Oryzias latipes: one gene and its partner. The protein of the gene in region 1 purifies or fractionates together with the protein of each later gene. This does not show direct contact. Links are inferred from orthologs where the notes say so. Each region holds a gene or a part of one and is shown in the gene's direction. Other genes may lie near its edges. The genes, in order: stk40 and cop1.

Region 1 (16,014 bases):
AAGGAAATAAAGCTATAATTGATCTGACTTTGTGTTAATTTCAGGTTTGTCTTTTGCCTAGACTATATATTGCAGTGTTCCTCCAGCTGTTCTCTCAGCATTCATGGTGAAACCTGCACAGATGACTCATAAACTGCCAGGGCTTCACATATTTGAATGACTGATGTTGCTCTACTCTCTGAGCCTCCCGGTCTACATCAGAGCGTGTTGGTCTTCATTGTTATTCAGGGTTTATCCTCCAGGGCTGTCAGTCCAGACAGATGTAATGCTTATTTCCATGACAGTGATTATGCAACTAAATGTAACAAACTCCAGAGGGGAGCATCTCTTTTAAAGTTTTCCATAGCTTTAATTTATCTGTATATACTTTGATGTTGAAACAGACCGGCTCAGATCAATAAAATTAACAAGCTTCCATGATCTAAAGAAGACACATGAGGATTGCCATGGCGGCAGACTTCAGAGCCTGGCATCATTTAGTGCATGAGTTCCTACAGATAAGTCTGCAAGACCCAAGTCAGACATAAACACACGTGAAAGAAGCCCATACCACTGAGGCAAACATGCTCAGACATTTCTCCGAATTGATATGGGAGAAGAGCACTTGAGTGAGATTCCTCCAATCATCTCACCAAATGAGGGATGAAAAGGAACCGTCAGAGGACAAAGCAGGTTTCCAAAACAAACAGAAACCAGAACTCGTGCCAGCTATTCAGCAAGACCTTTCAGAAAGCACAATTAGTAATGTATAGCTTTTTAAATCACTGCTGTGAATATATGTGCAAAATATTCATTGCACTAAAGAAATGGCGCAAAGTGTACGTCTCCATACATCTTTTAAAACTGTTCAAAATCTAAAACTTCCGCTTTTCTCAAAGGCATTTACTAAGAGTATTTTAATTCTAAACTCAAATGTCTCTCTTCCTTACCTGCAGTTCAGTTATGATTCAGTTTCCTCTTTCAAGAGTGTGGGCAGGGCACTGTAAAGCCATTGCCTGGTATGCATTTCATGTGGCCGGGGGCACATGTTGTGCTGAGTCAAGACAGGAGGACCAGTGCGACTCAAATCAAGCTCTGCCATTTGGGTTTCCCTCTCTGTGTCTGTCACATCTGCCCACTTGTTGGAAACTGGTAGCTGGGGGTGGACTTCAGGATCAATCAGCCAGTCTAAATTGGGAATATAGGTGGGCTTGCTGAAATGTCAGCAACTCAGAAATGTGCTTACACACCAAATGAGTCACAAACTGCCTCTTGGAGAGCTCAGTTGCATGTTAAAAGACCATTCCTCCAACAGTCTTAAACAAATGTCACTACTTATGAAGCATTTTGACAGCAAAAGTATCCCAGTGATATTAAAGTCTCCTGTATTATTCAGAGGACATATTTAGGGTGTGATGTCTCACTTATCAAGTTTCACTTACTCATTAACTCCTGACACTGTGAACATGCTGGTTTTGTAATATTTTACACCAATTCTTTGCGTGGAAGCTACTTGTTTACAATAGAAGTACTAGTTTGAGACAGAAAGGGCTATACATCTTATTATCCTAGATTTTTATTTTATTGTAAATTATTTCAAACTTTTTGGACTAGACAATCGATTTTGTTTTCATTCTAATTTTTTTAAGTACATAGTTTTTATCTTAAATTTAGATAAACTTAAATTCCTATTTTTTAAAAATTGCTTTTTGTAAACGTATTCAACTCTTCCAGTACTGAGTACTGTCATGATGTAATGGTTTCATTTTGCAACTTTTATTATGCAGAGAATGTCATCATCGGTGTGCAGCGGCTGTTGCCATTGGTTGTAGGAAGCTGTCAATCAAATCTAAGTGTGCGTCACTTCCGTTGTCAGGTGGTGCTGTCGCTGTGGAAAGATGCGATCAGCTTGGAGCGGAGGCTTTTCTTTAATTGCTCATTTCAGTCTTAGAAGCTAAGCAGCCCGAAAATAAGGCGCCGTGTCGTTCGTCGTTTGAACGAGGAGCTCCCCACACACCCACCGTGGCCGTGAACCAAGAAATGTCCATGTTTTAAAAGCAGTCAACGCAAATCTTTCCCGGTGGTTTTGGCTCGAGGTAAGCGAGGGGGGTCGACTGCGTTGCTATTTAGCTCTCGCGGCACTGTTAGCCAGCTGAAGTGTTGGCTACTTTGTTTAAATGGCCTCCCGGCTGCTACAGACCGCTCCGACTTGACGTTAGCCAGCGTTGTTTGCCAACAAGCATATTTCAACCTTTCTGGTAAACAAAGGAACACGGTGAAGAAGCAGCGTCTGTTTGAGCAGTTTGGTTGAAGCAATGGTCTTAGTTCGCACGGGAAGCTAAACTCTGTCTTCTTTCGCTGCAGTGCAGTGCGTCCCACTTTGTCTGGCTAAGTCAGTGCAACCCGTTTGTAGCCTCGTCTCCGGTCAGTATATTCTGGTTTCGTCTCGTGTTAAGTTTTGCATTCCCTAGCTTGGTGTCGGGTTTTTAAAAATATATATATTAATAAGGACATACAGGAAGAAATGCAGCGTAAAAGGTCAGTGTTTTCGTGTAACACCCACGTCCGCAGTGCAATATTAACCGTTCAAAACAGGATATATTTTAAACATTTCATCTTTCAGTTGGTGGATTGTGGGTTGTCGCTAAGTAAACACCGCGTTAGCGTTGACTCGTCATTGTTCACACTGCCTGCTGCACCAGCACAACTCAAATCTCCAGACTTTGCAACTCAAAATGGCACCAAACAGTGTAATAGTGGCTGTGCATTCGTTGTTATTTTGGTCAGGTGGTTTCGGTTTAACCTTGTGTCCTCCCCGTGGTCCAGTGATCAAGGGCATTTACTCTTTGCAGTAGAATAGGGTTTATTTTAACAAAAGCTATAAAGTAGAGCTCATGAGCTTAAATGTATTTTCCCTAACTCTTTTGTTTGAATATAAATGCAGATGACAGAAGTTGCATTCTTTAATTTGATTAAATTAGTAACTCCATTAAATTATCTATTTTTTGCTGCTCTGATTATTATTATTATTTTTTTTTTTGCAGTCCTTTTTTTTGCAGAGCCAGACAATAGGCATCAAGTCTGGGTGGAAGAAACTCGAGACACCTACATGGCCGTTTTGTTCTGCTACTATTTAAGGAGCCCACATTTCTCGTGGGCACTCGCAGCATGTCTCCTCCTTTTGTATATGATATGATTCAGAGGCTCTATCTGCTCCTGTCCTCCCTCTTGTGCAGGCAGAGGCCGCCTCGCTTGCCAGATCACTGGCTGTGCAGAGGAACACAGTGGTGTCAGAAAGGGATCGCTATGTGCTGTCATCGTGCTGATGTCATTTAGGTCAGTGTGCAGACGTTGGTTGTGTTGACCTTTTGCTTTTAAGATCTGTGTCTGGGTTTGGCTCCACAGCTCTGTAGCAGGTTTTCAGTCGGTAGATAAAATGCCTTGGGTCTGTGTGTTGCGTTGCATATTCTGTCAGTGACTCAGTGAAGTCTTATAAGTCCAAGGTGCATGAGTTACATTTTTTTTTATTTACTGATTATGTGCCGGAATAAAATGGGGCCTGCCGGTTCTTGCCGAAGGTGTTTGCCTAAAATATTTATCAGCCTTCCTACTTCTCGGATGAAAAAAAATATTTGTCTGGAAGTATCGCAAAGCGTGTTTACTTTAGCATCCGCCGGAGGTTCCCACCGGGCAGCTTCACAACAACTGCAAGTCCTGATTGTCTACTTCTTGCATCCAACAGATTTGCACTATTTTCAGCATGACTTTGTGTCACTCTGACTTGCACTACAAATGTTGTCAGAAAACCTCAGTTCATCAGACTCAGTGGGTGATGACTAGTGGAGATGGAGACAGATGGGTGAGAGACATGATGATGACACTGTCTGCTGTCTGGGATCACAAAAAGCCTCATGGAAGTGAGAATTCATACGAGCCCTTACCGACTGCCAACTGTCCAAACCTTGTCTGTGCCCAAAAACACCAACTGGCGAGTGCCTTTGTTGGTTTTGAAACAGGAAGATGGCCTGAGTGGTTGGGAGAAAGGGGGGAAAATATGGAATTTTTTGCACTCATAACAACATGTTTTTATTTTTATGTTAGTTTTCCTCTAAATGCCTTGTTGGTTGTTGAGCCGGATTGTACTTGAAATGGAACTGCTAAACTAAACAGACCCCAGCTGTCATTGTTTTGTTTTTTTTGTATCTGTCATTATCTCTTATTTTGCTTAAGTTATTTTCCAGTTTTGTTGTTATTTTTGGTTATTCCACATATTGAACAAGTGAGCAACGTCTAAAGAAAACTTTGGAAGACTGCGGGATGAATCATTCCTTTCAGTTTAGTGCACTACTTCCCCATTACTGGAAGCAGATGGGGTTTCACCTCACGGTAACTCAGTATTAAGAAAACAAACCTTTCACATCTGATTTCTGGGAGGTGCTTGCGATCTGGCGTGCTGAGTTCAGCTTGTTAAATGTTGATGCACTGTCACTGCTTAGGGTTCCATTTAAATGTGCTTCCTTACTGTTGTGCAGAGCTCTCGCTTTGTTGGGACATGTAGGTTTTATTTGTTTTTGTTTTTTTAGGGGCATCTGCATAGATAAGACGGCTGAAAAGATTCTGAGTTAAGCATGCAGATTAAGGGCATAAGATTTTTTCTTTTTTTCTAAACCCACGTCCACTGAGGCCGGAACAGATTAGAGAATCAAATTTAAACGCTTCAGTTTCAAGAATGTTGTGCAATGGCCTTTTATTTGCGTGCAAGTGCCCTCCGTTTTAAATTGCAGATTGTGACACGCTCTCTTTGCTTTTGGGGGGGATTGAATGTGAGGTGTTGCCCTTGCCGCCTGCAGCCATTATTCTAAATGGAGCTGTAATGGCCTCATCTTCACACTGAGGTGGTTAAATGTGAGGGGAGGGATTTTTTTTTGTAATGGGTTAGGTGGAGCTGCCCTTAACTTTACCCCCTTCACACCTTTTATTTTCATGAAGCATTACTTTCTAAGAAACTACATTTGTAAACTCTTAAAAAGTTGTCTGGAAATCAATTATTAAAACGTCATCCATTCACAGTTTGAAGCCCCTTGCATGCACTTGAACTTTACTATCTTTATCCCTTGAACTAATCAGATTTGTTCTCCCGCAGAGCTCCAGGATGTCCAAGCGGCGCTCGTCAGAGAGGGGGGCTGGAGAGACATCAGGCAGAACCAGCAAGCTGCAGTGCACAGGGATATCTGGCAGTAATGCCAAGAGGGCCGGCCCCTTCATCCTTGGTATGGAAGCGAGCTGCTTTTTGTTGTTTTTTTTTCTTTCAGAAAAGTCGCAGAAACCTATTGAGGTAGAAATGTGTGTGGTTCAAAACTGTAACCCTGCGTGAGTCAGAAACGGAGGAAATGATTCTGTGAGGTTTTGGGGTGTCTTGTGTTTGCACAATGGACGCTGATGCAGGGCTAAGACAAGAATGCTAAGAATGTCGCTGATCCCTATGACATTTGCCAGAAAGGCTTCAGTGTGGGTCGATGCAAGGCTTCTTCCTAGAAAATGTGTTTTAATCATTTTTTTCAAACACAAGACATCTACACCACAAAACCTCCTCATAATTTCTAAATTTTGCACAAAAAAACGTATTTTACACTAAGGCTGAGTGCAAACTCAGGACATAGAAAGTTGTGGTGTGAGCACACACTTCAGCATGTAGGCTGCCTTTTGGTCTCACAGCTGTTGCTTTTCTAATCCTTGCAGGACCGCGCCTAGGCAACTCACCAGTACCGAGCATAGTGCAGTGTTTGGCCAGAAAAGATGGCACAGATGATTTCTATCAGCTCAAAGTAAGTTTGGTTTCAGACTCGCATTATTGTTTTGTTGGTTTGGTCATGCTTGCCCTTCAAAAGAACAGTAAAAATGAAAAGATTTTTTTTAATTTGAAATGGTTTATTTCAAGCAATCAAGTAAGAATAATACACAAAAACAATACAATCAGCTGTTATACATTCATACAAAGACCTATACCAAACCTAGGATAATTAGACATAAAATTAAATATTGCTTGAAAGGGAGTGGAAGGAAGGAAATTTATATAATCCCACCCCAGTTCTACCATTTTTATTACATGATTTATCAACTTTTATCGGACAAAATTAAGAATCCTTAGGTATCAATAAAGCACATGACAAAGATGAATTGCTTAATTATTATGTAAAAAATAGACATAACTATTTTCAAATAGTTATGTATCCAATGCATTGTGTGATGGTTTGGCACGCATGTCTTGGTGCAGATTTTATCGCTTCTTTTTCAGTCAAAGCAGCACAGTAGGCACTAAAGGCTCCATACCGTTGGAGTGCTCATCTTACTTTAAACAATCCCAGCAGCTTTGATCATTTAGACTTTTGAACTCCATGATTGGTCCTTCAATAGTTTAATGAATCTGCAAAAAGGTCAATTGAAGCTCAGTGGTTTTCTTGTGTTTCTGTGGTGTGTCCCTGACAGATCCTGACGCTGGAGGAGCGGGTGGACTCTGCTGGGGAGACCCAGGAGGAGAGGCAGGGGAAGATGCTGCTGCACACAGAGTATTCTCTCCTTTCTTTGTTGTACAACCAGGATGGGGTGGTCCACCATCATGGTCTTTTCCAGGTACTTTAGAACAGTTTAAGCTACATTTCTGTTAATGGCTTTGCAATATGTTTTTTAGCACTGAATGTATGTGATTGGCACAAGGAGGGTGTTTCACTCAGTGCCGTGTAGGCGTGCATTCTGTGTAATTGAGATTTGTAAATGCAGTAACATTACCATAGAGAAGTGGCTGCCTTTTTCAGTTTTCAGTGTAGCTTCACAGCTCAAGTACAAGAAGTTGTACAATCTCACTGTCAGTACTCCACAGTTGGCTTGTATTTACTTCAGCCTTTCATTTTTTTTTCCATGTCAAGTTAGATATTCATTAAAAGCAATATTTACCTGCGGCATCCTTTCACAATGACCTCCCCCACCTGCCTGTCTGTCTGCTCCTTCCTTTACTGTTGTAATTCTTTCAGCATTCTCTCCTTCTGTCATTCTGTATATTCCCTCCCCTGTGTAAGCTTGATATAAAGAAGGGTTCAATGTGTATCTTAAACCTGAAGCTTGATACACAAATCAATCATTTAGAAGCCACAAAGACTTCTAAGTGGCAGATTAGAAAAGAGGCAGGGGACTCTCTGTTGGTTCCAAAAATGCCACTGAAGCCTAAGAAATGCACTCACAGCTGATGGACGTAACCTGTTCTATAACAGTACTCCTACAGTTGTTTTACTTCATCATTTTTTCGTTTTTAGCATTAATCCATTTGCTGGACCTTCCAAGTTTGTGCATTTTTTAAAATTCGTTTTGTTTTCCAACACAAAATCCTTCAGAAACATTTTAGTGTCTTTTCTAAGTTTTTTCTGACCCTTCTTTTTAATCTTTGTCCTCCAGGACCGAGCCTGTGAAATCGTGGAAGACCTCGAGGCCAACAAAATGCGAAAGATGAAGAAGCGCATCTGCCTCGTTTTGGACTGTTTGTGTGCCCATGACTTCAGCGATAAAACGGCAGATCTAATAAACCTCCAGCATTACGTTATAAAGGAGAAGCGCCTGAGTGAGCGCGAGGCCATAGTCATTTTCTACGATGTGGTTCGTGTGGTGGAGGCCCTCCATAAGGTAAGCTCTATGATATGGCGAACTGTTAAAGAAAAGCATCACTTTTAAATGTTCTGGGTTTTTTTCCATCAATGTTTTGTTTCAACTTGGAGGAAGAAAAAAATTGTTGTGCTGGTTGCATATCTAGATGATTACTGGTTTCCCAGGGTTGTGTGCCACTCCCTGATACAAACTGATTCTTGCCATGCCAGCAATTCACCAAACACGGTGTGAACATACTGATGTTTTCTTTCTCCTGTTTTTTTCCTTTGCAGAAAAACATTGTTCACAGAGACCTCAAACTTGGAAATATGGTGCTGAACAAACGGTAAGTTTAGTAAATCATCCAAGCCTCTGGGTCAGTTCTCTGTGAAATAACCTATCCGGTGGTGGGTCAAATTCTTTCATCTGACAGTAAAATCAGTATTAGGAGCCCATAGTGCTGCTCTGCTGTGCTTGAATTTTTGGCTTTGTCTGCCTGTTGTGTAATGGTTTATGAATCATAACCCACGGTTGGTTTTGAGTAACAAACCCCATTTCTTAATAGAGCACAGACTGCTCCGGTGTCAACGGGACTGCTTAGGATTCAGGGTGTTTCTGAAGTGTTTGCAGCTCATGCAGGATCACCTCTATTCTGATGACTGAGAGACCAAATATCTGCAGATCAGATGAGCCACAAAAGTTTAAGTCTAGCTATGGTGAAATGCAGTCCAGTCCCAGTAAAGTACCATATTTTTCAGCGTATAAGTCATGTTTTTTGCGTAGTTTTTTTGCGTAGTTATACTCAGGTGCGACTTAATGTTATTTTTTTTTTAAACTAAATAGCAACATGCCACTAGAGGGCACTGTAGTTTGTATCAGCATAAACTACTGTCAGCAGCAAAGAAGAATCTCTGCTCAGTCTTAGTTGCGTTCACAGCTGTTTGCACTACATCTCCCATGATTCATTGGGTTAAAGTGACAGCGTCTCAGCGCACAATGAGTCTTCCTTGTAAAACGTCTTAAAACCACGATGAACACGCTTTGAACAGTTTTTAAATCTTCTAACTTAACTTTTATTACATCATTTAGAAAAAACATCTGCAACTTCCAGCTTTTTCTGCCACAATTATCACAAAAATGCATGTGAGATTGCAGAGGGACTGTAGATCAATACATCACAGACTGAGTTTCTCCTTTTTTTACATTTTTGGATGCTGGTGTGCCGCAGGATTTTTGTCAAGGTTAAAGTGTCGTGGCTCATAAAAGGTTGAAAAACACCGTGCTAGATGGCTATGTTTCATGAACCTAAATAAGGATCAAAGTGGTGCAGTATTGAAGCCTGTATATGTTCAGTTTATAATTGTTACTTATTCCATAATTATGATTAGCCCTTCAAGACTAAATGTCTATTCTTGGTCCCATATTTTGTTAAATTTCTCCTAAAGGGCGACTTCTATATGTTTTTTTTCCGTTTTTATTATTTTTTTAATGCATTATTTTGGCTCCTGTGACTTGTATTTCGGAGCGACTTATAGTCCGACAAATACAGTATCTAAGTAAAACAAAGGGCGTAGAAAAACAACCTTTTTGGAATTCATGGCAGCAAAATCCGCCATCTAATGTTCATGCAAGCGTTTGCACTATTGCAGATGCTGATGGGTTTGTTGGGTTGTACAATGTGCGTTTGTTCACACTAACGGTTTGGTTTGTTAACCTGTTGTGTTTTACGAGCATAAAGTACAGCAATAAAACTGAATAGCCTTCAACATTACAAACGATGAGCCTCTTTTCTTTCTCTTTAAAAAATGCCTTTCATTATTTGCTCTCCGTAGATAAACACGGAACAAAACAAGCATCTTCTGCAGCAACGGGAAAAGATTTGGTCGATAAATCTTTCGGTAATTCTGGCACTCTGTCAAAATTGCTCAAACCTGGAAGGCTTTTCTTTTAACTGCATGCAATGCATTTGTATGCTTTTAGTCAGCAAACGTAACCCTCCCATTCAGCAGCTGTATTAGTAGCAGAGCTCAGTGTTTTGGCTGGTAGAGGGGGGTGGTGGGGAGAGAAGCAGACAGAATGCTCCGTCCCAGCTGGAGACAAAGGAGAGGCCTGCCAAAGGCCCCCATAGCTCAGCGCTGACTCACAACAGAGTGCAAGTCACGCACGCACTCACACTCATCATTTTTCGCCTGTGTTCTGCTTTTGTTCCTTTTTTTTTTTTTGTTTCTTCTCTCTTTCTACTGAAATCCCTCTTCCACTTCCACTATCTTTTTAGTGTATCCCCATTGCCAAATTTGTCACTTTCTCTTCTTCTTTATTTCTCGTACTTCCTTATTCTTACGTCTGTCTCCTTACCAAACATGTGGATGAATGTACAGTCAGTGTGGGAACACGGTCAGTTTGTGGCGCCGTGCTTTAGAAAGAAACAAAAAAACAAAATCCCCCCCTCACTCATGCTGCTTATCACACCTCTTGGAAATGTACCAGTTGCATCAAAAAGCTCAGCAGTTTGAGCAAGAATGATGCGATTTCCTCTTGCTAAGCCAGCTTTGTAAAAACAGGATGTCATTACTCAACCTGCAGGGACAGAAAAAACGTATACCGGTATACTTTCTGATTTCAATGATTTGCAAAATGTATTTGCGTCTCCCTTAGATTTACTGTTGTATCTATTACCATATACACATAGAAGCTGGATTTTTTTAGCAGGATTTTCTTCCTAGTTTCATGATGCAATTTCATTTTTAGTCTGGGTTACATAAAATCCTAACAATGTTGGTCTTATAAAGCTGTGAGGAAATAACTGTGGCTGCTCTTTAACTTTTCATATTCTCATCAGAACAGACCAGCTGACCAGAAGGGCAGGAAGCAGAAGTCATTAGGGCTGCTTAGGTTCAGTTTCCTGATTTATCAAAGGTCACATGACCAGGAAGCGGCAACGGTGTGGTCACCCCACAATCCAGTCACTCTTGTCTCACGGGGCAAACATGCAATTTCAAAAAAGGTCATGATGCAGACAAGACGAAGTGTCAGAAAGGAATTTCAATGTTCCAAAACCGTTTACATTTTTGCCAGGCCGTCTTATGTTAACAGGGTTTTGACTTGCATGACTTGTGAAACTGGAAAGATTTGTGGATCAAATATTCTACAAACAAGGTTAAGATGAGAGCATTTGGTTTCAGCTAGTTTTAGTGAGAATGCTTGGCTCCAGCCAGCGTTTGTGACTGGAGTAATGACAGTGTGTGATGGAGCAGGCTGTGAAAGTGAGACTGAATAAGGGAAGCTGCTGACCTCATGCTTTTTGGAAAGCGGATGTGGGTGAAAAGTGTGATTGTGAGAGGACATTTTTGTGTTGTGAGTTCTTTTTTTAAAAAGGCCAGTTTTGAGCACGTATGAGAAGCTTTATAAGTGATTGTGGATCTACTTCAAGTTGTTTTACATACCGGAACATATGTATTGTCCAAATAAGATCTTTGATTTAAAAACTCAGTTCAGTCACTTGGATTTGGTAAAATCCCATTTCTGTGTGTCATAGTCAAACACAAGTGACCTTAATAACTGTGTTTTAGTTTAATTTTTTTTGTCTGTGAACTCCAAATTCATTCAAATTCAAATTTTTTTTTGTTAGTCTGATGCTACGTTCACACCAGGCACGTGCAGGACGTTCAAGATCGCACTGAACACGGGTTCTTGAAGGTGCTTTTAGTCTATGATGTTCATACTGGATTGTCGCATCCCGATACAAGCACATGTTGGAAAAGGCTTGGTGTGAAATGTTGAAGCAGTGCAAATTTCACAAATCTTGCTCCAGGATTTTTCTGTCACAGCTCTATTCCGATATATGGAAGACTTGGTGACATGTAATTCCAGCCGGGCACAAACCTTTAAATAAATTCTCCTTCATGATCAATTTTGGCACCTCCGTGAATGAAAAGAGACACAACCCATAGGTCCCTAACCAAATCAGAGTCCCTGCTTAGTCCACATTTAACTGGTTTAACTTAAACACACGTTCAATGGTGATGGTGATGGTGATGCGTTTTGTACGTAGAGCCCAAAAACTGACTTTCAAACTTGCGCAGCGACGCGTGCTACTTTCCACGCAGACCCCTGAAATGCGGATATTTTGATTGGAAGTGGCTGCATGAACGTATGTTATTGAGACCTGGGGTGAACTTTCTTTGGTCTACCTTAAAACTAAAAAAGGCACTTTATTTAATATCATTTATATAAATGAAACACCAAAAAATCCCTCAAGTAATTAGAAATATGGGTTGCTGAAGTGTTTATCAAGATTTTTATTAAACAAGCGAATTGAACTTAAAGATGTGTTATTATTGTCGGGGTTCATTGATTCTAAACTTGCAAAAGGAATCTTTTACTGTTAGTACAATCGTTATTGTGTTATCTGTAGTTATTATTTACTTTTAGCCAGAGTGTTGCAAATTCTGTGTGGACATGAGGGATATTTCGTGTGCATGGTTGAATGAAGTGTAATCTTAATGTTGTTGTTTGTTGCTAATGAAAGTTCACTGCTGTGTAAATATGTTGCAATCTCCAGTCAGCCTTGGGATATTGAGGTCTGCTAGCAAGTGGCTCTACAATCCTGCATGTGCTTAACCAGTTGTTCCCTTGGTTCTCTTATGGGTGGCGCAGTCATCAGTAATGCCGTCTGGTCACTAGTAATGTGAATTTTAGGATTGATTTTGAATTGAGTTGATTTGAATTGCGTTGTAGAAATCCAAATCATTCATTGGCCCGTCGTGTTTGTGTGCTTGAAGGACTCATCGCATCACGATCACCAACTTCTGCCTGGGAAAGCACCTGGTGAGCGAGAACGACCTGCTGAAAGACCAGAGAGGAAGCCCGGCCTACATCAGTCCTGATGTATTAAGTAGTGAGTACAAATATTTCATGCGGTTTCCGAAAACGTCGTAAAGACTGGTTTTTGACCACCAAGCAGAATTAAAAGCTTATCTGACGGGTAGATGTTGGAAGAATAACTTCGACATTGTGTCCAAAGATTAAGTAAGTACAACAAATTAAAAGATGGCGGCGATACATAGTGTCCAAAACTGTGGACCGGAAACTTCTGGTTGATAAGTCACACACGTGTGGTTGTAGGGGTGATCCTGAGATTATTTTTACTGCATGTGTGGTTCAACAGGCCTAGATTTTCCAACTATTAGGCAACAGGAGGGCTATGTCGCAACCTGGGACCAGCTAAAGTGTTGCCGCCATGATTGTGCATTTGTTTGTATGCAAAGGAAACGCTCTTTGTATAAAGCAGAGATCCGTTCCTGCTGTTTACCTTCCCGGTGCTCAGTGTCACAGAACATGCACACACAACCAACCCTGATGCAGGATCACACTCCTCCATGAAACGCATTAGCAGCATCGGTTTCATTAATGATTTCCCAAACAGCATTACTGGAACCAGGTGTAGAAAGGCCGTATCTGTCTCGCCCAACCAGTTGAAAAGGAGATAAAAGCTCAGTGAACGTATCAGCATAACGTGACAGGAACACAATTAAACAGAGCTTCAATGAGTCATGCACAGATGACTCACTAGAGGGAAACTACTCCCTTCCCCCTACCTCTATATGTGTGTCTGTGTGTGTTTTGTGTCACAAGCTTTAATATAATTGTCGGCTGCTGTATCTCCTGCCACCCAGACTGTAGCAACACTTCTTTTGGTAATGCACAGCCATGGGTTCCACCCTCATCTGCTGTGTCCATGTTGGGCTGACATCTGCTTTATGTTCCAAGCTTTCCATGCAAAAGCAGCTTTCTGATCATGGAATCATGTTTGTAAAGATTTCCCCCAAGCACAGTGGGTGGGGTCATTGACTGCTTTCATTCATTGATACTGTCATGACCAGGATTGGAATTCAAAGGGTCAACTTTTGTCTTTTACCCAGGTCAAGAAACATGTTTTTTGGACTGTTCCATCCACACTTTCCATAGGGGAGTACACACTCTGACCTGACCTGTTTGTCTATCTTTTTCCAGGTCGACCGTACCGCGGTAAACCCAGTGACATGTGGGCTCTTGGCGTGGTCCTCTTTACTATGCTTTATGGCCAATTCCCCTTTTATGACAGTGCACCCCAAGAACTCTTCCGCAAAATAAAGGCGGCAGAGTACTCCATCCCAGAGTGAGTATTTCATACAAATACTGGTTACTCGTTGCTCTGATAAGACCCCCACTGTTCATCCACAAACGACCAAAGGAATTATTGCAATTGCTGTTTTTTGTTGTTGTTTTTTTTTATTAAATATGACTCCACCAAGAATACATTTGACTCAAACATGTTTTTTCTCTTCCAATTTTTTTAAATAGGTTTGGAACTTATTTCTATCAACGAACTAAAAAGTACATGTTGTATCCGCTGTGTTTCTCTTAAAATAAGCTGACTTTTCCTGTTCCCTCTGCCTCCTCACAGGGATGGTCGTGTGTCAGAGAACACGGTGTGCCTCATCCGAAAGCTGCTCGTTCTGGACCCACAGCAAAGGCTGACGGCAGGAGAGGTGCTGGAGTCCCTGGGTGCCATCATATCCTCATGGTAATGGCCCCCCCTGCTGGATGTTTTGTCATTTGTTCCTCACAGTGCCAACTATTTTCAAAGTGGTCTTTTAAATATGATAAAGCCCTTTTTAGCCCAAATAAAAAAAAACACATTGTCGTTATCTGAGACATAGTTTCTGCAGAGTGACAGTAGTTCTTTAGAACAACTACAGGTTGTGGGTGGGACAATTGGCGCAGAGTGCTTGGAGAGCTTGGAGCACGAAGTTTGTGGCCTGCCAAGCATATTTTCACAATTTGGCAATTTTTTCCCACAGCATTTTTTCATCTGCTCCTGATTCACAATAATTAGAATAAAGAAATACTCAGGAATGCAATTTGGAGTTTAATTTTCTTTATAAATGTTCTCCATCATCAGAAAAATGCCACAAGAACATGTTAACACAATTTTTCTTGAATTGACCCTTTAAAGTTAAAAATGTAATCCAACTGCAGACCTTATTAGTTATATTTAAAGCCAGAAACACAGATTTCCCAGAACACTTACAAAAGCTTTTTATTTTTACCAGAGGAGATGAAAATCATAGATTTGATTTCAAACAACAGTTTGCTCAAACAGCACTAAAGCAAAAGTGTTTGTCTATAGCAGGGGTAAACATGTGGAATTCCCAGGAGAATCAGCTAAAAAGTTGTCAAAATATTATTCAATGAAAACGGATGTATAAAGCAAAGAACGTACAAACTTGACTGTTGGATGGAATGTTTGGAATGTATGTTGTAAATCAATCAACGGTATGTATTTACTGTGTTTATGGTGAAATTTGAGCACAGGTGATGCTGTGAGAAATGTAAATATGATGCAATGTTTGAAAGGGAGCAAACAATTATAATGGTTGTATTCTTCAATTCTGCTCCTTTCCAATCATAAACATTTTCAAAAATTTACGACAAACATGTAAACATGTTGGACATTCAATAATTTTCATGAAAGGAACAAATAAATCAATGAAAAAAAAAAGAAAAATAAAAGTTTGCTGCATTTTACCAGAACCTGTCATTCAGGTTCATGTATGGAATTGTTGTTTTTTTTCTATTGTTTTTTTGAATCTCTGACTCCAAGTTAGATGCTAGTTTTGATACTCATGTTTTTCTATGAATTCAATCACAGGCAGTCTGTTTCTTCAATGAGTGGCCCCCTGCAAGTGGTTCCAGACATTGACGATCAGATCAATAATCCAGAACATTTACAAGAGGTGAGATCTGCCTGTCTATACTCATCAGCCCAAAACAGTGTGAGACGCCTTGTGCCTGTTTGACGCTAACCTTTGGAGGCCATTTTTGGATGTTCAGAAGTCAAAGTTCCTTTTTCTTCTCAGGCCAAGGCGCTTGAGGAGTCTTCGCAGTACGAGTTTGAGAACTACATGCGTCAGCAGCTGCTGCTGGCTGAAGAGAAGAACACTATCCATGAAGCTAAGAGCTGCACCAACAACCGGCATTTTGGCAGCATCCCCCCCGTCAGGCGTTTAGGCCACGATGCCCAACCTGTCAGCCCGCTAGACGCCGCCATCCTAGCTCAACGTTTCCTTCGGAAAAAGCCCCCAGCTACCCATTAAAGGCGTCTCGGGCTCAACGTGAACTGAAGATGCCCGCTGAGGCCAAAGCTCCTCGAGAAGGAAAAGCCCCAGAACTCTACAGGCAGACACCCCCCCCACCAGACGCGGGGTGTTGGCTATGCTCGGTAGAATTACGGTGGGCATCAGACCAAACTTCCACGTCAGAGCTCTACCTTCCCTTTGGGCGAACACTGTTGGAAACCCGGAAAAGCCCGATGGAGGCTCTGAACCAAAGGCCCCTCACCCCTTCGGTCCCACCCCCTCC
Region 2 (16,014 bases), on another chromosome or scaffold:
CAAATGGGAACGTTTTTTTCTGCTCCTAAATCTCAACGATTTAAAGAATAAAGACATATTGGGAAATGCTTCATTTTTAGTTAGGAATATCCTCCATTCATGAGGAAAATGAACACCAAAAGCATGATTTTCACTGGAGTGGGACTTTAAATTTAAGCCCAACTTTGAACTTTAACATACTGGTTTACAGTAGAGATGCAACGATTCTCGTTCCTTTGGTTTAATGGTGTAACATAGTTTTTGATCGAGAATTGTGACATCCCTGGTTGTTATCTAATTAGATCAAATGATGTCCGATTCATAGGTGAAGTTCACAGTGTTCACTTTGAACATCCTTGACACACTTTGCTGTGTTTGCTGTGTTCTTACCTATCCCAACCCTTTACTCTAGTAAACGAGCTGATCCTTAAACACAAGCAAAGATCAGAGGAGAAGAGGCTAAAATTAGACCATCCTGTAAGTACATTTCATAAATGCCTTTATTTCTGTTTTTGTTTTTCTGGTATTTTCCAACCTGCCAGTGACTTCTCTGTGTTTCTGCGTTGTCGTCCACATGGTAGAACGGTTCTCGGTGGCAGGTCTTCCAGGATGTTTTGAGTCCTGATCAGGAAAACCTGGATCTGGCAAATGTCAATCTGATGTTGGAGCTTTTGGTTCAGAAGAAAAAGCAGCTGGAAGCTGTAAGTGTTTCTGTTTCTGTGGTTTTAAGGTTCTTTGCTTCTCCATTCATGGTAACACTTTGGTAAAAGGCAAAGTTCAGAAAAGAAATTACAAAGAAAAGCAGCCACGTAAGGATTGGGTTCATCATACATGATGCAAGTAGATTAATGCGGTTACATATGAATATCTTCTATAAAGTGATTCCAAAGTAAAAGTATGTTTGCACATCTTAAAACTATTGAGCCCAATATGTTAAAGAAAATAAAAGTACAAGTTTAGGTAAGTAAAAAATATCTTTGAATATTGTTTGTCTTCGGAATAACTTTTTTTAGACGGTTAAGGTATGATGGAGATTGATCCCGTTGGTCCAGTAGCGGAGTAAGAAATTTGCATTAAAAAGTCAAAAACTGATGTGATGTTTGAATATTACCCTTGAAAATGTTTATTTATGTATTTCTTTATTCAAGCATTCCTGTTAAATGAGATTCAGTTTGAGCTTTCTCCTTCCAGTAAGAGTATATGTACACCGTGAGCTTAACAATACTTCTAGGAAGTGAAAGTATACAACGGCAGATAGAAATATTTTAAATGTCATTTCCAAGGGTTGTCTTGAAACTAACGGCAGATGAAGCTGAGACGATTGTTATCGCTGGCTGTTTGTAGACACAGACGACGTGTGAAGGATCAGCGATTAATGGAAACCCGGCATATCCGCTTTTTATTTGGTCAGTTTGTAAAAAGGGGAAGTCGAAGCCGCAGCTTAATCTTGTTGACTTCTCATCTGCAGCATCAGCATTGCTTAAGAGCCGCAACAAGTTACAAAATCTTAAGCTGCTAATAAATTGCATTTGTTTCTTTTGTTTAAACTTTAAAAAAAACATTTATTTTTTGGTACTTGAATGTGCCTTTTTCCCTAAAAATGTCTCTTCGAGGAAATAAAATCAACTCCCTAAATGTTTGATTGGATTTAGTTTAATAACCTTTAAATTATTTCTCCAGTTCTCTGTAATGTCGTGTAAATGTTTCCACCATATTTATGCTTTTTGTAACTTGACAATGCGGGTTGTGAACCACCCCGGATCCACTCCCCTGTGGATCCAAAGAATTAAGGACTTTGTTGTAGCTGTGTGCCACCCACCTACAGGGCACAACAAATTCCAGTAAATTCCCCTGTTATCCTTCTCCGTTTTGAAACAAGCCTTTAAAAAATGAATGTCTCACTGAGTAGCATATCTTCAAACTGAAGCTGCACTCTTTTTTTTAATGATCTAAACTCAGAAGTTCTTTTTTTTCTTTTAAAATGTCCCATTGAATCTTGCTAAACATAAAAAACAAAAAAAACAAAGCTAAATTTGTTCCATTTTTGCTATGTTTTTGGTGTTGACAATTCTTTTCCAATGTCAAAGAAGAATAATTGTGATTAGTTAATGTACTTTTATTGTTGTTTTAATTTTTGGTGGTTGTGTTTATCTGCATTAGGAATCACAAGCAGCCCAACGACAGATCCTCATGGAGTTCCTTAAAGAAGCTCGGAAAAATAAAAAAGAGGTACAGAGATGTTGTTACAGAAGCAATTTATGGTGATAAAATAGAAAAAAGAAGAAAGTTTTTTAGATGTTTATTCATGAAAGTTAACCTGAAATCATTTTATTTGTGTTTTCGTCTTAAACAACAGCAATTAGACCAACTTCAGAAAGAGCTCAACTTCCTTGAAGAGGACATTAAGCGTGTCGAGGTACGTTCTCTAGGTTCCTTTTTCCAAACCTGCCATTCCCACTGCTTCCTGGAGTCAAACCAGTACCAGGAAGAAAGACCCATTTTGATTAAAAAATGAAATTTGGGCGCTTTTAAAATGTTCTTGTAGCATCTATCTAATGATGGAGGACATATATTAAGAAAAAAACCTCAATTTTATTTCGGACTATTTCAAATTTGAAAACACTTGCCAAGCACAGGCATTTTCTTTGATACGACTGAAGTTGTCCTTAGGCTCCATATCAAATATAAACCAATCCGTTTCTCCTAACAACAGAAACAAACAGCAGTCTAACCGTTTTTATTTTTTATTTCAACATGTACAGGAAATGAGCGGACTTCACTCCCCAGTGATGGAAGCAGAGTGTACGGTGCCAAACGTCGAGACGCCCTCTCCAGGTCCAAGGTACCGAAACCTAAAAATCCTATCCAAAAGGAAGTCAATACAGAAAAAAACCTTTGGCATCATTCTTTACAAAAGTGTCCTCCTATTTTTGGATGTTGACGTGTGATGAAAACATTTTGTGTGTGTTTTTTTTTCTCCTGTGTAGTTGTAGTAGCATCATTGAGCCTGCAGATTACACGCAGCCTCCAGGATTTGGTGGAAGCACCCAGGTATGAACTTTGCCTAAAAATGTTGATTGTTTATTGCAGAATAAAAATTTCCTGAGCTGTATTCTTTTAATTGTTTGTCTAGGGAAAACGACAGACGTGGTACAACAGCACGTTAGCGTCGAGGAGGAAGAGACTGACGGCTCATTTTGATGATCTTGAGCAATGCTACTTCTCAAGCAAAATGTCACGCATCACAGGTGCATTTATTTATGCAGCAAAGGAAACTGTATTTTTTAATAGAGAAAACAAAATTATTTTGGGATAATTTCATGTAGTTTCTAATGTCACATAAAGTATCAGTAAGATTTAGGGTTGAAATAAGGATTTAATCCCTATTCTTCCATTACCCTTCCAATTGTAGAGGCACTTGGAGGCGTAGGGTTGTCGCAATCTGAGGTAGTTCCGTGTTAGACGTTAACATTTAAGTGTAATTAATGACTTTTTGTTTTAGCATGACCTTTTTAAAGTAAAAAAACAAAACCATGTCAATTTCTGGGCGCTGGCCGTAGCTGACCGGCGACTATTGATGACGTCATCGAGTGGTAGTAATGTAGTAACCCCATTTTTCCATAACTCTCCGTTTGGAGGGCTAAATTTAGGGGTAGGGAGAAGCCGCAGAGGAAGAATTCTGATTCGGCCAAGGTTTCTGTTGTTTTGCTCACTGTTTGGGTTTTTTCCGCTGACATTTTTTGTCCTGTCTTCAGATGAGGGTAGGACCTTAAACCAACTGGATGACTTCATGGAGTGTTTGTCCAAATTCACACGCTACAACACTGTGCGGCCACTGGCCACACTGTCCTATGCCAGCGACCTCTATAATGGCTCCAGCATTGTCTCCAGGTACAAAAGACCAAATACTAAGCTTGTACTTTACTCTCAGGATTTATAGAATCTTATTTGGGGGAAAATTGTAATATTGACCCTTTAACACCAGAGATGTTGCTGGTGACACCTAAATAACACGTTATTTGATATACCGTAACTCTTGGACTATTTACGCGATCAACGGGAAACAGCTGATTTTTGTTGATCGCTGAAGGAGTTCATTACTGTGAAGTGTTGCACGTCGGCGCAAAGCTGCTTTTTCTCCGCTGCACTTGTAATCCACTTAACTTGCGTTAACTCTGTAAACAGTTGAAGAGTGAAAGCAGGGGTGCTCGTAACATCGATCACGATTGAACAGTCGATTGCGATGTGATGGTAAGCCATCAAAGATAAATGTATTTTTAAAAATCTGTCAGAAAATCATCATCCTCGGCGTGAAATACGCCCCTTGATTGGCATGCAGAACGGCCAATTGAACATCCTCTGAACATATGTCACTGTGTTTAAAAACACTGAGCTTCTTTTTACTTTTTTTCTTCTTTCTCTGAGAAACCCGACACACAGCGGGGCCGGCAAAGCCCTGGTTTCCTGGGGAGGACCCCCGCGGCCCGCAGGAGGGTTTCTAAACCTGTCCCTGTTTGCGTGCCTCCTCGATTAGAAGCGTAGCCCCGTCTGACCCAGCCGTCCTGCCACGGCGCCTGCTGCCGGGCCCGCGGTTCAAGCCCACTCAGGCAGCAGTGTCTTTAAGCACGGAGCAGGGGCCGCCGTTGGCTCAGCCTTGGTTAACCCACCCGCGCTTTAGGAATGTCATGGTCCCCCCATTTTTACAGCAGAGCATGAAACGTGACTGTCAATGCTTTCTGTATCCATAATGAAACGCTTTGTCTGTTCAAATTATGTATTACTACAAAAAGAATAATACACACAGCAAAGCTATCTTCTCCAATATATATATTTATATAGATATATATCTATATATATATAGATATATATCTATATAAATCTATATATATATATATCTATATATATATATATATATATATATAGAGAGAGAGAGAGATAGATAGATAGATAGATAGATATCGATAGATAGATAGATAGATATCGATAGATAGATAGATATCTATAGATAGATATCGATAGATAGATAGATAGATATCTATATATCTATATATATATATATATATATATATATATATATATATATATATAGATATATATATAGATATATAGATATAGATATATAGATATATAGATATATATATATAGATATATAGATATATATAGATATATAGATATCTATCTATCTATCGATATCTATCTATAGATATATATATATATATAGATATCTATCTATCTATCGATATCTATCTATAGATATATATATATATATATATCTATAGAGATATATATATATATATCTATAGAGATATATATATATATATATCTATAGATATATATATATATATATATATATATATATATATATATATATATATATATATATATATATATATATATATATATATATATATATATATAAAAAATATAGGACGGCAGTTTAGCTCAAGGGGTAGAGCAGGTCGTCCAACAACCGAAGGGCTGGAGGATCGATCCCCGCTCCTCCCAGCCAGCTGTCGCCCCCCGGGCGCGGCCAGCCCACAGCCCACCGCCACCACAGGGAATGGGTCAAATGCGGAGAAAGAATTTCCCCATTGTGGAATAAATAAATTAAAATGATTAATTATTATTATTTATATATTACTGTAATAGAAAGAATTGAAACACTGGCACTAACGTGCTGGAGTTGAAGGGTTAAAGCCAAAATTCCGATTTTGTTGTCGTAGGAAACGATTACCGTACCTAAAATGAGGGAGAAGTCTGATCACTGACTCCATCTTCGCGTGTGTTTCAGTATCGAGTTTGACCGTGACTGTGACTACTTTGCCATTGCTGGTGTGACCAAGAAGATCAAGGTGTTTGAGTACGGCACCGTGATCCAGGATGCCGTGGACATCCACTATCCTGTGAACGAAATGACCTGCAATTCCAAAATCAGGTAAAGGAATTCATTCCTCGACAGAGACTAGGTTTTGCTTAAAACTGTGCTCCATGAATGAAAAAAAAAAAAGAATTTCAGATATGCACATATGAACAGGAAAAAAAAAAATTTCTGCCAGCTTTGGTTGACAAGAATCTACATTTGAAGATCTGTTTCTTCATTGCAGCTGCATCAGCTGGAGTAGTTATCATAAGAACCTTCTGGCTAGCAGCGATTATGAGGGAACCGTCATTCTGTGGGATGGATTCACCGGCCAGCGGTCCAAAGTCTACCAGGTGTGATGACTAGAGTTGAAAGTGTTGTGATAAAACTGTTCATATCCTTTTATCTTCTGACTGATTAGCCTAATCTGCAGTGACACCCTCCACTGTTGTTCTTTTCAGGAACATGAAAAAAGGTGTTGGAGTGTCGACTTTAATCTGATGGACCCCAAACTTTTAGCTTCCGGCTCTGATGATGCTAAAGGTAAAGATTTGGCCCTCGTCTGAACACGTCATCCTCATCAATCGTGTTAGAGATTTCCAACATTCTTTTTCAGTAAAGCTGTGGTCAACCAATCTGGACAACTCAGTAGCGAGCATCGAGGCTAAAGCTAACGTATGCTGCGTTAAATTTAGCCCAACATCCAGGTATCATCTGGCATTCGGCTGTGCAGGTAATTTCTTCAATCCTCACTTTATCTGCTTATTTTTCAGTTGGTTTAGTGTTTTTCTGCATTTGTTAAGAGGTTATATTAATTGAAATATCTTCCCACATCTACTTTAGTTATTCTGTTTCTGTATTCTGCAAGAAGGAACTAAACTCTGCTCTTATTTTGGTTCATGTTGTGTGCTTATTGAATAAAGCGTTTGGCAAAATCCTTAACAGCTTTTGTCGTCAATATAATATTACTAAATTAATTAAAAAACTGTAAAAGTGGAATCGTTCAAATTACCTTCAACAACCCCAACTCAAATTATAAACCACTCACTTTTATCACAAGTATTTTGGGGGTCTAGTTTCTCTTCTGAAATGCTTGTACTCTATAAAATTAAAGATTTTGTTAAAAATAAAATGATATAATTTTCATATGTTCTTCAGTCAAAGTTGGGTAGGGAGGTATGATTGTCATCGGCTGCATTTCTGAATTTCTTTGGTTGGTAACCATAAAATATTACATTTCAGAATTCTATGGGCACTAAACTCTCGTCATTCAGGAATTATAATAATTCTTTAAAAATGTCTTTGGAGACTTTTTAAGTCAATTTTAGTGCATTCTTCTACCAGATCTTTTTCATAGTTTGATTTTTGCTCTGTAAAGAAATTCTAGAGGTAATTTCTTAAGTTGTTTTTTTTTTTTACTTCTAATTTTTCACAACAAAAAGCACTTTTTTTTAACCCCTGAAAATGTTGCATAATGTAGGTGGAATTTATATATAAAAAAAGTCAAAACAGACAAGCTTTTAGAAAGAAAAGAGAACTGTTGCTCTCGCTTAAGATTTTGCAATTTCGGCTATTTAGATACAAAATACAAATTGATTTTAAACAAAGAGAGAGAGAGCCTAACTCCTTTTAACAGAACTGGATACAAACAGTGTTTTATTCTTTTTAGAAAGTAAAGGGACAATGTAGTGTCACGCTAACATATTCAAGGTTTTTCCTCAGTTAAGGAGCATTAAAAATGTTTTCTGTCATTGCTATATAATATTGTATTTCTTTTATTTTATTCAGCATCACATCTCAACTGTTTTTCTTTTTGTTTGTTTGAAAGACAATTAATCCTGAACAATCCAAAAGAACTTTATTATGTCCTGACAGAAGAATATCTATGAATGATCATAGATATTTTATTATAGGGGTATTCGTGTAAGTATTCTAACTCTGAGCAGAAACTGTGTGGTACTTTGCTGTAAGTTTTCATTCTTGGTTTACGTTCGGAGTGCAGCTAGGAGATTGGAAAATAAAAGACTAAAATAATTTTCTTTTTTTAGTACCAAAACTAACCACAGAGTTGCAGATCAGGAAAAAATGTAATGTTTGTGGTTTAATACCATCATGTTTTTATTGACAGAAAGCAACAACAGTTGTGCTTCATCATTTTCTGGCCCAATTTGAACATTTTGTGAAATTTATCTCTTTTGTCCGCAGACCACTGTGTCCACTACTACGATCTCCGCAACACTAAGCAGCCAATCATGGTTTTCAAAGGCCACAGGAAGGCCGTGTCCTACGCTAAGTTTGTAAATGGGGAAGAAATCGTTTCTGCGTAAGTCTGTTTACCTTTGCTTCCATCTTTAATGTTTTAAGTAATCGTGTATTTGTTTTTAAATGTTAAATATTTTAGTATATTTTAAAAATGCAATGACAGACAACGTCTTACTGCTTAACGTTTTCTATTAAGGACTTTAATTTTATTAATTTTAAAACTTTTATGTTAATAATACAATTAATAGAGATCATCCTGTGCTAGTGGCAAAACAGATCAACAAATATTTAACATTTAGTCTGGTTCCTATATAATCCTATATAACACATGAACAGAGGTGAGAAAAACACATTTTAAAGCTTTAAACGAGAGCCGCTAAGTTTATTTCTTTCACAGAAGCTAAATTGATTAAAATACGCTTTCATATTTTTAGCAGCTTTCTTGCATATTTAGACTTCTCAAACAATGCTTTTAAAACTGTAAAGAAACTACTTAATAACCAAAACTAAAAAAATAGGATAAAGAAGGATTTGTGCACACACATATAAAGAGTACATGTTCTGTGTTCATAGTTCGACGGACAGCCAGCTGAAGCTTTGGAACGTCAACAAACCTCACTGCCTGCGCTCCTTTAAGGGTCACATCAACGAGAAGAACTTTGTTGGACTGGCGTCAAATGGAGACTATGTTGCCTGTGGTATACGTTCATTTGAAACGTTGACGCTGATGTTTAAAGACTAGCCATTAATATAAAGTGTTTTTATGTCCATTTTAGGAAGTGAGAACAACTCCCTGTACCTGTATTACAAAGGACTTTCCAAAACACTGTTAACATTCAAGTTCGACACGGTGAAGAGTGTTTTGGACAAAGACAAGAAAGAAGATGACACCAATGAGTTTGTGAGTGCCGTCTGCTGGAGAGCCCTGCCTGATGGAGTAAGTGTCACTTCACTGGTCAACTATACTTTTTTCAATTCTGCCATTGTAAGCAATACTTTAAGGCTTTTGTCAATATTTTAAACAAGGCTTTCATTTACATAAAATACCTCTGATTTATTCAAAATGATTTGCTTTTAGGAGTCAAATGTTCTCATTGCTGCGAACAGTCAAGGAACTATCAAGGTTGGTGTTTTAAAAAATATACAAAAAAGATGTTTTCTTTTTAATAGTACCGTTAAATGTTTACAGCTCTTAAAAACATCTGTTTGAGTTTTTTTTTATTATTCCAGTATCAGTGCATAATTCCTCCCATTTAATGAGAATTTACCAGGAAAAAAAATACAATTGCAATTATTTGGGGGGGGGGGGGGGGGGAGGGGGAGTGGTTTGTCAAAAAATTGCTTAATAAAGAAAAAAATGTCTTTAAAACATCTAAATGTCTGTATCTATTCCTCCCTGACAGGTTCTTGAACTTGTCTGAATTCCTGCCAGGCTTGGGCTATCATGACCTCTATCTTTAGGGGGGCAGGGGTCAGCCGTGAATGGGGAGATCGCCTGCTGATCAACGGAGGAGCAAAAAGAAACGGAATCCATCTGTTATTTCACTGAGCTTTGTGTGCGTGTGACATCAGACAAATGTCGGCCCGTGGCACCAGTACAGCAGGCGGAGATGTGCCGGCGTTTGAGCTTTACCGTTAAAGAACCAAGCTGGGGCACAAAACAGAGGAAAGCGGTTTTGTTCCTAATCCGTCACAGTTTGTCAGCCACAATACAACACCTCTCTCTGGTTTTATACCAAATCTTATTATTTTTTTACTTTTGACTTTTTAACTCTTTAACCATTTCTGTCAAAGGCAATTCAGATAAATGCAACCTCCTGCATTTTGTCTTTTAAAGGCCAAAGCACAAAACAAAACATGCAAACTTAAATTCCCCCTCTGTCAGCTGTCCAGTTTATTCCCTATTTGTGTTGTTCTTTTTGTTGTATATTTTGTTTGTTTTTCCAGATTGGGAGACAGCAGGGTTTTTTTTTTTTTTTTTAATAAAGGTGACTTGAATTTCATTTTGTCAAGTGTACAGCAGTTTTTCTGGCAAAAGCAACGTAGCATCTCAGCGTATCTTTTTCTCAGAACAAAATGATACTCCACGTGTTTGTTTCTATAACCACAGCTATTGTTGCTTGATTCAACCTGCAGTTAGTGGAACTGGACTTTTTGATGGATTAGGACTGTTGTAAACTGATAACCACAAAGCCTCAGATGAAGTTCTTTCAAAGTAGCACTGGGATGTTTCTTTTTATTTTGTTTTTAATGCACAACTGCAGGCATGAACTGAGTATCATTGCATTTTGGGCGCCGCTACCAGTTTTTGTGGAGTTCCACAAGGACATGTAAAAAAAGAATAATGGAAGGATTGAAGAAGCCACCAGGATCTGCCAATTTTATGATTGATGAATAAGAGAGGTGTTTTGTATTTGCCTAACAATAAATTATTTAAAACATTTTGGTATGTGTGCTTTTTGAAAGTCTTTGATATTCTCTTTAATTACAATGCAATAGGTTGCTTGGAAAATATGACAAACCAGCTTTTTTTTTTTAGTACAAATGAGGAAATCTAAGATAAAAAGTTGAGGTTAGCACATACGTAATTGTACTAAGGTGAGGTAAACTTTGTCCTCAGAGAGGAAATTTGTTCCTGGCCACAGAGCTACTTACCTGAATGAGAATATTAACAGTACACAGAACAAATAATTAAAACGGGAATATACAGAATTTCCAACAGACCTGACTCACCGTTAAGAACACGAATAATAAAATGTTTAATTGAAACCTTTACCACAATGCTGAAAATAATTTCAGTAAAATGCATTATCAATTCATAAAAGGAAAAAAAATCTACTGTTGTTAAAACTAGGGACTAAGTATTACCCAAAATGATAAATACATATAATTATGCTCCTAAAAGCAAGCAAGAAGAAGGCCGATTTTATTTCTAGATGTCAAGTACTATATTTAAAAAGATATTGAAAGCCTATTAGAATGCCAGAGCTGTATTACCAAATACTGTATATTTTTTGTTTTTACCCTTAGTATAGTAATGTTTTTCTATATTTAATTTTTAGTCTCATTTTGAAAAACCAACATACAGATGGATAAACTGTACTTTATGCAGAGCTATACTAAAATAATATTTTCAGCTCTCGACTCAAGAAAAAAATACAAAATTGCATTTCTCTTTTGACTTTTCAGTACAATTTACCAGAAAAATTACATTCTTTAAATTATAATAGCCTGAAAATTAATGTAAAAAGGAAAAACGGTGTTTTTCCGCTTAGGTTCATCTGTTGAAGTTGTCGCAATGCCTACAACACAAACAAAAGTTCAACACAAATAAATGGAAAGCCAAACGAATTTATGTGCTAGTAACACTATACGCAGCCGTTCAAAAATAAACAAAAATATGGAACTTAACTATCTTACAAAGTACACTGTGTTGTGTATTATTTTTAGAAACCGCGTACAAAGATAAAACGTGTTTTTTCGTAAATCTTCAATCGAAAAGATTTTTGTCAACTGAAAAATACGCCAAAGGAAACTGGTGAGCGGAACTTATGTTTTACTGTTGTTTTCCAAATACATGCGGAGTAGTTTAGCGGATGGACAACTAGCTAGCAAACGGAAACAAAGCCGGACTCTAAAGCAAGTTCTGATGTTACCGAGTCAAACATTTGAGAGTACTTAGAGATAACCTTTCAGTGTTAACATTTTTACAGTCTAGAGCTTTGTGACGAAGATGGGAGTACCCAAATTTTACCGTTGGATCTCGGAGCGCTACCCCTGTCTCAGTGAAGTTGTCAAGGAACATCAGGTAGGACCGAGCAGTCAGGGTCGATTGTTTCACAATTCACACCTTTAGCATAGCTAGCCGTTTGCTACAGTTGGAGGCGAAACTTTGAGCCGCCTTTGCTCACTCTTAAGAGCATTATTTTTGAAAAAATAAATAAATAAATAATGCCACACGTGATAAAATAATTCTAAACGCACGACATACCAGACTGACATTCAGTACGACGTACGTCGTTTATATTCCTACACTAAGTTTAGCGCCCTAATGTTTTATTTGAGTTACTTTAGTGAGTCATACACTCTAAATATACAAATTTTATGAATGTATTGCTTTTTATTTGTAATTTCAATAAAATCTACATATTAATAATAATGAAGCCTAATAATTGTAAACAGGTAGAGCGTTATAATGTTAATAGCTGTTTAGTAGCCATAGTTAACAAATGGTGTGAAGACTTGCACTAGTTTGAACATTTTTTTCTTTTAACATTTAAAAAAATATCAATTTAACGTAAGTGATTCAGATTTTTGAGCGGAAGTTGCTATTTCAGTCTCCAAACAGTCATTTCATCAGACTTGTTCAGTCTGGCGCTCCTTGTGTTGGAAAGCTGTCAGTTGTTTTCTATTTTGTAACTGTTTGGTGAAGGAGAAGTCTTAACCAAAGCCCAACTGACAAAAGTGTGGGGTATTCTGTTTCTTTATTTTTTTAATTTATTTGTTTATTTATTTTTGCTTTTTCGTTTTAAAATTTTTAGAGCAATTTCTTGTAGCTGGCCGGAGGACTTCAGATAAACGATTTCAATAAATCCATAAAAGACGTCATTACTCCCAGTTCCTTAAAGCGTTTTGGGTCTTTTTTTCTTTCAGATTTGGGCTGCTCAATACTATAATAATGAAAATTATTATTCCACAAAATAAAAACTGTAAATATAATCATTTTTTTAAATGACAAATTGGTGTTACAAAAGTAAAAAAAAAACCTGCTCTACAATGGTTTGTGACTGTCTAGGCTTATTAAAATCAGTAAGCAAACACCAAAATTTCAGCTGTGCAAGCACTAAAATCCATGTCAGCTTATTTCCCTAAGTTTTTACTCTCCATTTTTATGTTGTTGTTTTTTTTAAACTATAATTTCAGTAATTGGGTGGCGATTCACAGCGATAATGTTTTGTTTTGAACGATCCGATTCACTGACATAAAATGGATCCAAGACATCTTTAGCCAAAACTTCAACCATTGTCACTCAGAGATAAATACCTGGGCACTGAACGGTGCTGGCAAATGTTTCCAGATTTCTTGTTTTCCTTACAATTTTGAATCAATTTGATAAGTTTTATAGGTCGATTGGATTACCAACTTGCCTCAGACAGATCCATCTGGTTGGATTGTTGGAGTATAATAATAATAAAAATAATAATAAGATTGGATTGGTTTTCTCTGCACTTTTCTAAAATTCAAGGCGCTTACAGTGGAGCGCTTTGAGCACAGTATGGCACCAGTGTAGCCACACTGGAGACTAGGAGGGTGAAGTGTATTGCCCAAGGACACAACAACAGTTGACTGGGGGGGAGCGGGGATTGAACTGCCAACCCTGCGATCATTGGCCGACCTGAATTGCCTTTGATGAATTGATTAAGTTGATTTATTGGTTACACCCCTAATAACTGGGTATTTATTAAATACTAACACCTAAGATTATTTTTGCATCTGTTATTAGTGTTGTCTCCCAGGAATTTGGGACAGGGGATTTCTGGAGACGGTTAAATGTTTTTAGTAGAAAAATAAAACAAATCAAAAAAACAAATTATTAGTATTTGAGAACATATACATGCATGACACTGTATTAATATTATTATTTTTATTATTATTATTTTTTTGCTTTCTTCTCTCAGATTCCAGAGTTCGACAATCTCTACCTGGATATGAATGGCATCATCCACCAGTGCTCCCACCCAAATGATGAGGACGTTCACTTCCGCATCTCTGAGGAAAAGATTTTCGCTGACATTTTCCATTACTTGGAGGTGCTCTTCAGAATCATCAAGCCTCGCAAGGTCTTCTTCATGGCAGTGGATGGTGTGGCACCCAGGGCCAAGATGAACCAGCAGAGAGGACGCAGATTCAGGTAGAGACACAGTCAGAAGCCCAGATATCCATCTTTCTTTTTTCTATCACCAATAATTTAGAAATCAGATTTAGAATTACTTATCTTTGTTTTTTATTGTCATTTCTTTCCCTATTATGTGTACTTTTTTTGTTGAAGCTATTTTTTTTTTAATTCAAACATGCCTTTATTATAGAAACCAAGTCATACCTTGAATCACTTTCTGTTATTTTAACCTCAATCTACCATCTCAAATAAAAAAATGTATTAAGTTATATTTTGTCTTTGCTTTGGCTACTCTGCCTGGAAGACTCCTTTTAAAAATATAAATCTCTTCATTGTTTTCATTGTGCTGGTATTCAGGTCTGCCAAAGAAGCAGAGGATAAGATAAAAAAAGCTTTGGATAAAGGAGAGGTGCTTCCTACAGAAGCTCGCTTCGACTCCAACTGTATCACTCCCGGTATGTTTAATCTGAAGCTTTTCACTCTTTGGTCATCGACCCCATTGGATCAAAATCTATAAAATATATGAAGTAGTTTCATTTTTTGACACAGCCGTCTGTAACTGCTGCTTTAGCTGGCACCATATGAAGTTGCCAATCATTTATGTTAGAAGAGAACAAATTAGGAACGATGAACCAGTTTGAACCTTTGAAGATTCTTCTGTGCATCAAGATCAAACCTTATTTTCTATGATGACTTTAAAACTATGAACATTTTATCTCCCAGCATATCCTTTATGGATGTATATATATATTAGGGCTGCACGATATGAGCAAAACTTGCGATGTGCGATATTAGTGATCAATATTGCGATAACGATATAATTTGCGGTATATAAACAAATAGCAAAACAACCAAAAACATCATTACCATGTCATTTCAACAGTTTAAAAAAATGATACTCCAAATGACCCTTGTTGACGTAGGATGCAAACATCTAACATAAAAGGGCTCATCTGATTGGTCAACATCGGAAAAGGTCCATCCAATTGGTCAAATGCATAAATGGATTTATTTGATTCGTTAAATGCTTCAAGCTGCCATAGGATTGTGTTAGCACATTTAAGGTAACCATTTATTGCGATTTTTGCTGACTTTTGCAATATGGATATTGCACTGCTTGATATTGCGATAACGATAAATTTGCGGTAAATTGTGCAGGCCTAATATATATATGTATAAATATATATATTTACGTCTTTCATGAGTGACTATGCTCTTTAAGGTGTCCATTATCTTAAGGGAAACCTCGTTGTCTGATACAAATTTGTAACCAATGTTGCCATTTTGCGTTAAGCCGCTCACTCCAGGTAATAACAACAGCAGAAATGGAATTATAGTGTATTTCACACATTTAGCTATGTACTTTTTTCAGGCACTGACTTCATGGCGAGACTTCAAGAGCAGCTTAAGTACTTTGTCCACAACAAGCTCTCCACTGACAAGCTCTGGCACAATGTCAAAGTCTACTTGTCTGGTCACGAGGTGAAGTGCTTTACATTCTTTCCAACTTGCTGACTGATTGATAGCTTCAGTGAAGGTTGCTTGTTTTGACTTTGTGGGGGCATCTTCTTCTTTTTAAGACACCGGGAGAGGGAGAACACAAAATCATGGAGTTTATTCGCTCTGAGAACTCCAAACCCAGTCATGATCCTAACACCCGGCACTGCCTGTATGGCCTGGATGCTGACCTGGTAAGGTTCGGAAATCTCTAAACAATGTTTTTGGAGCCCTAATAGAGTAATTTGCTTTGCTTTTTAACCTGTTTTCCAGATTATGTTGGGTTTAACCAGCCATGAGCCGCACTTCTCTCTGCTCAGAGAGGAGGTTCGCTTTGGAGGGAAGAAATCACAGAAAAGGTTTGGTGTTCCTCTCGATTGTTTTTCTCACAAGTCCAAGTTTTCTTTAGTATAAAAAGTACAATTATGTTTTTACATTTTAGCTTCTCTTTCAGATTCTTCTTTATCTTTGTTTTAAACTCTCCTTTTTGTCTTCGCCTCCAGGATAACGGCTCCTGAAG

What was found.
Region 2: the proteins of stk40 (region 1) and cop1 purify together in Homo sapiens (affinity purification with mass spectrometry; 3 studies listed by BioGRID and IntAct, counting the BioPlex papers as one, with this or other methods). This does not show direct contact. The link is inferred for Oryzias latipes from reciprocal best matches to the Homo sapiens genes STK40 and COP1.

Annotation. Positions count from the first base shown.
Region 1 is NC_019874.2:23,401,082-23,417,095, forward strand, and holds part of stk40 (serine/threonine-protein kinase 40), read left to right. Parts: intron 1-1,845; exon of another isoform or gene 1,846-2,075; intron 2,076-3,215; exon of another isoform or gene 3,216-3,315; intron 3,316-5,122; 5' UTR 5,123-5,131; coding exon 5,132-5,249; intron 5,250-5,718; coding exon 5,719-5,804; intron 5,805-6,465; coding exon 6,466-6,609; intron 6,610-7,425; coding exon 7,426-7,650; intron 7,651-7,904; coding exon 7,905-7,957; intron 7,958-12,392; coding exon 12,393-12,508; intron 12,509-13,623; coding exon 13,624-13,768; intron 13,769-14,056; coding exon 14,057-14,176; intron 14,177-15,304; coding exon 15,305-15,389; intron 15,390-15,512; coding exon 15,513-15,749; 3' UTR 15,750-16,014. UniProt on the Homo sapiens protein: May be a negative regulator of NF-kappa-B and p53-mediated gene transcription.
Region 2 is NC_019875.2:19,743,143-19,759,156, reverse strand, and holds the end of cop1 (E3 ubiquitin-protein ligase RFWD2), read left to right. Parts: intron 1-391; coding exon 392-456; intron 457-560; coding exon 561-680; intron 681-2,139; coding exon 2,140-2,208; intron 2,209-2,335; coding exon 2,336-2,395; intron 2,396-2,741; coding exon 2,742-2,821; intron 2,822-2,966; coding exon 2,967-3,030; intron 3,031-3,112; coding exon 3,113-3,227; intron 3,228-3,734; coding exon 3,735-3,870; intron 3,871-5,770; coding exon 5,771-5,914; intron 5,915-6,083; coding exon 6,084-6,192; intron 6,193-6,300; coding exon 6,301-6,382; intron 6,383-6,455; coding exon 6,456-6,572; intron 6,573-8,044; coding exon 8,045-8,162; intron 8,163-8,674; coding exon 8,675-8,799; intron 8,800-8,877; coding exon 8,878-9,038; intron 9,039-9,179; coding exon 9,180-9,224; intron 9,225-9,504; coding exon 9,505-9,522; 3' UTR 9,523-10,544; downstream 10,545-16,014. Other genes in the region: xrn1 (5'-3' exoribonuclease 1), read left to right, coding at 11,835-11,909, 13,780-14,012, 14,355-14,452, 15,370-15,479, 15,578-15,688, 15,768-15,853, 15,998-16,014. UniProt on the Homo sapiens protein: E3 ubiquitin-protein ligase that mediates ubiquitination and subsequent proteasomal degradation of target proteins.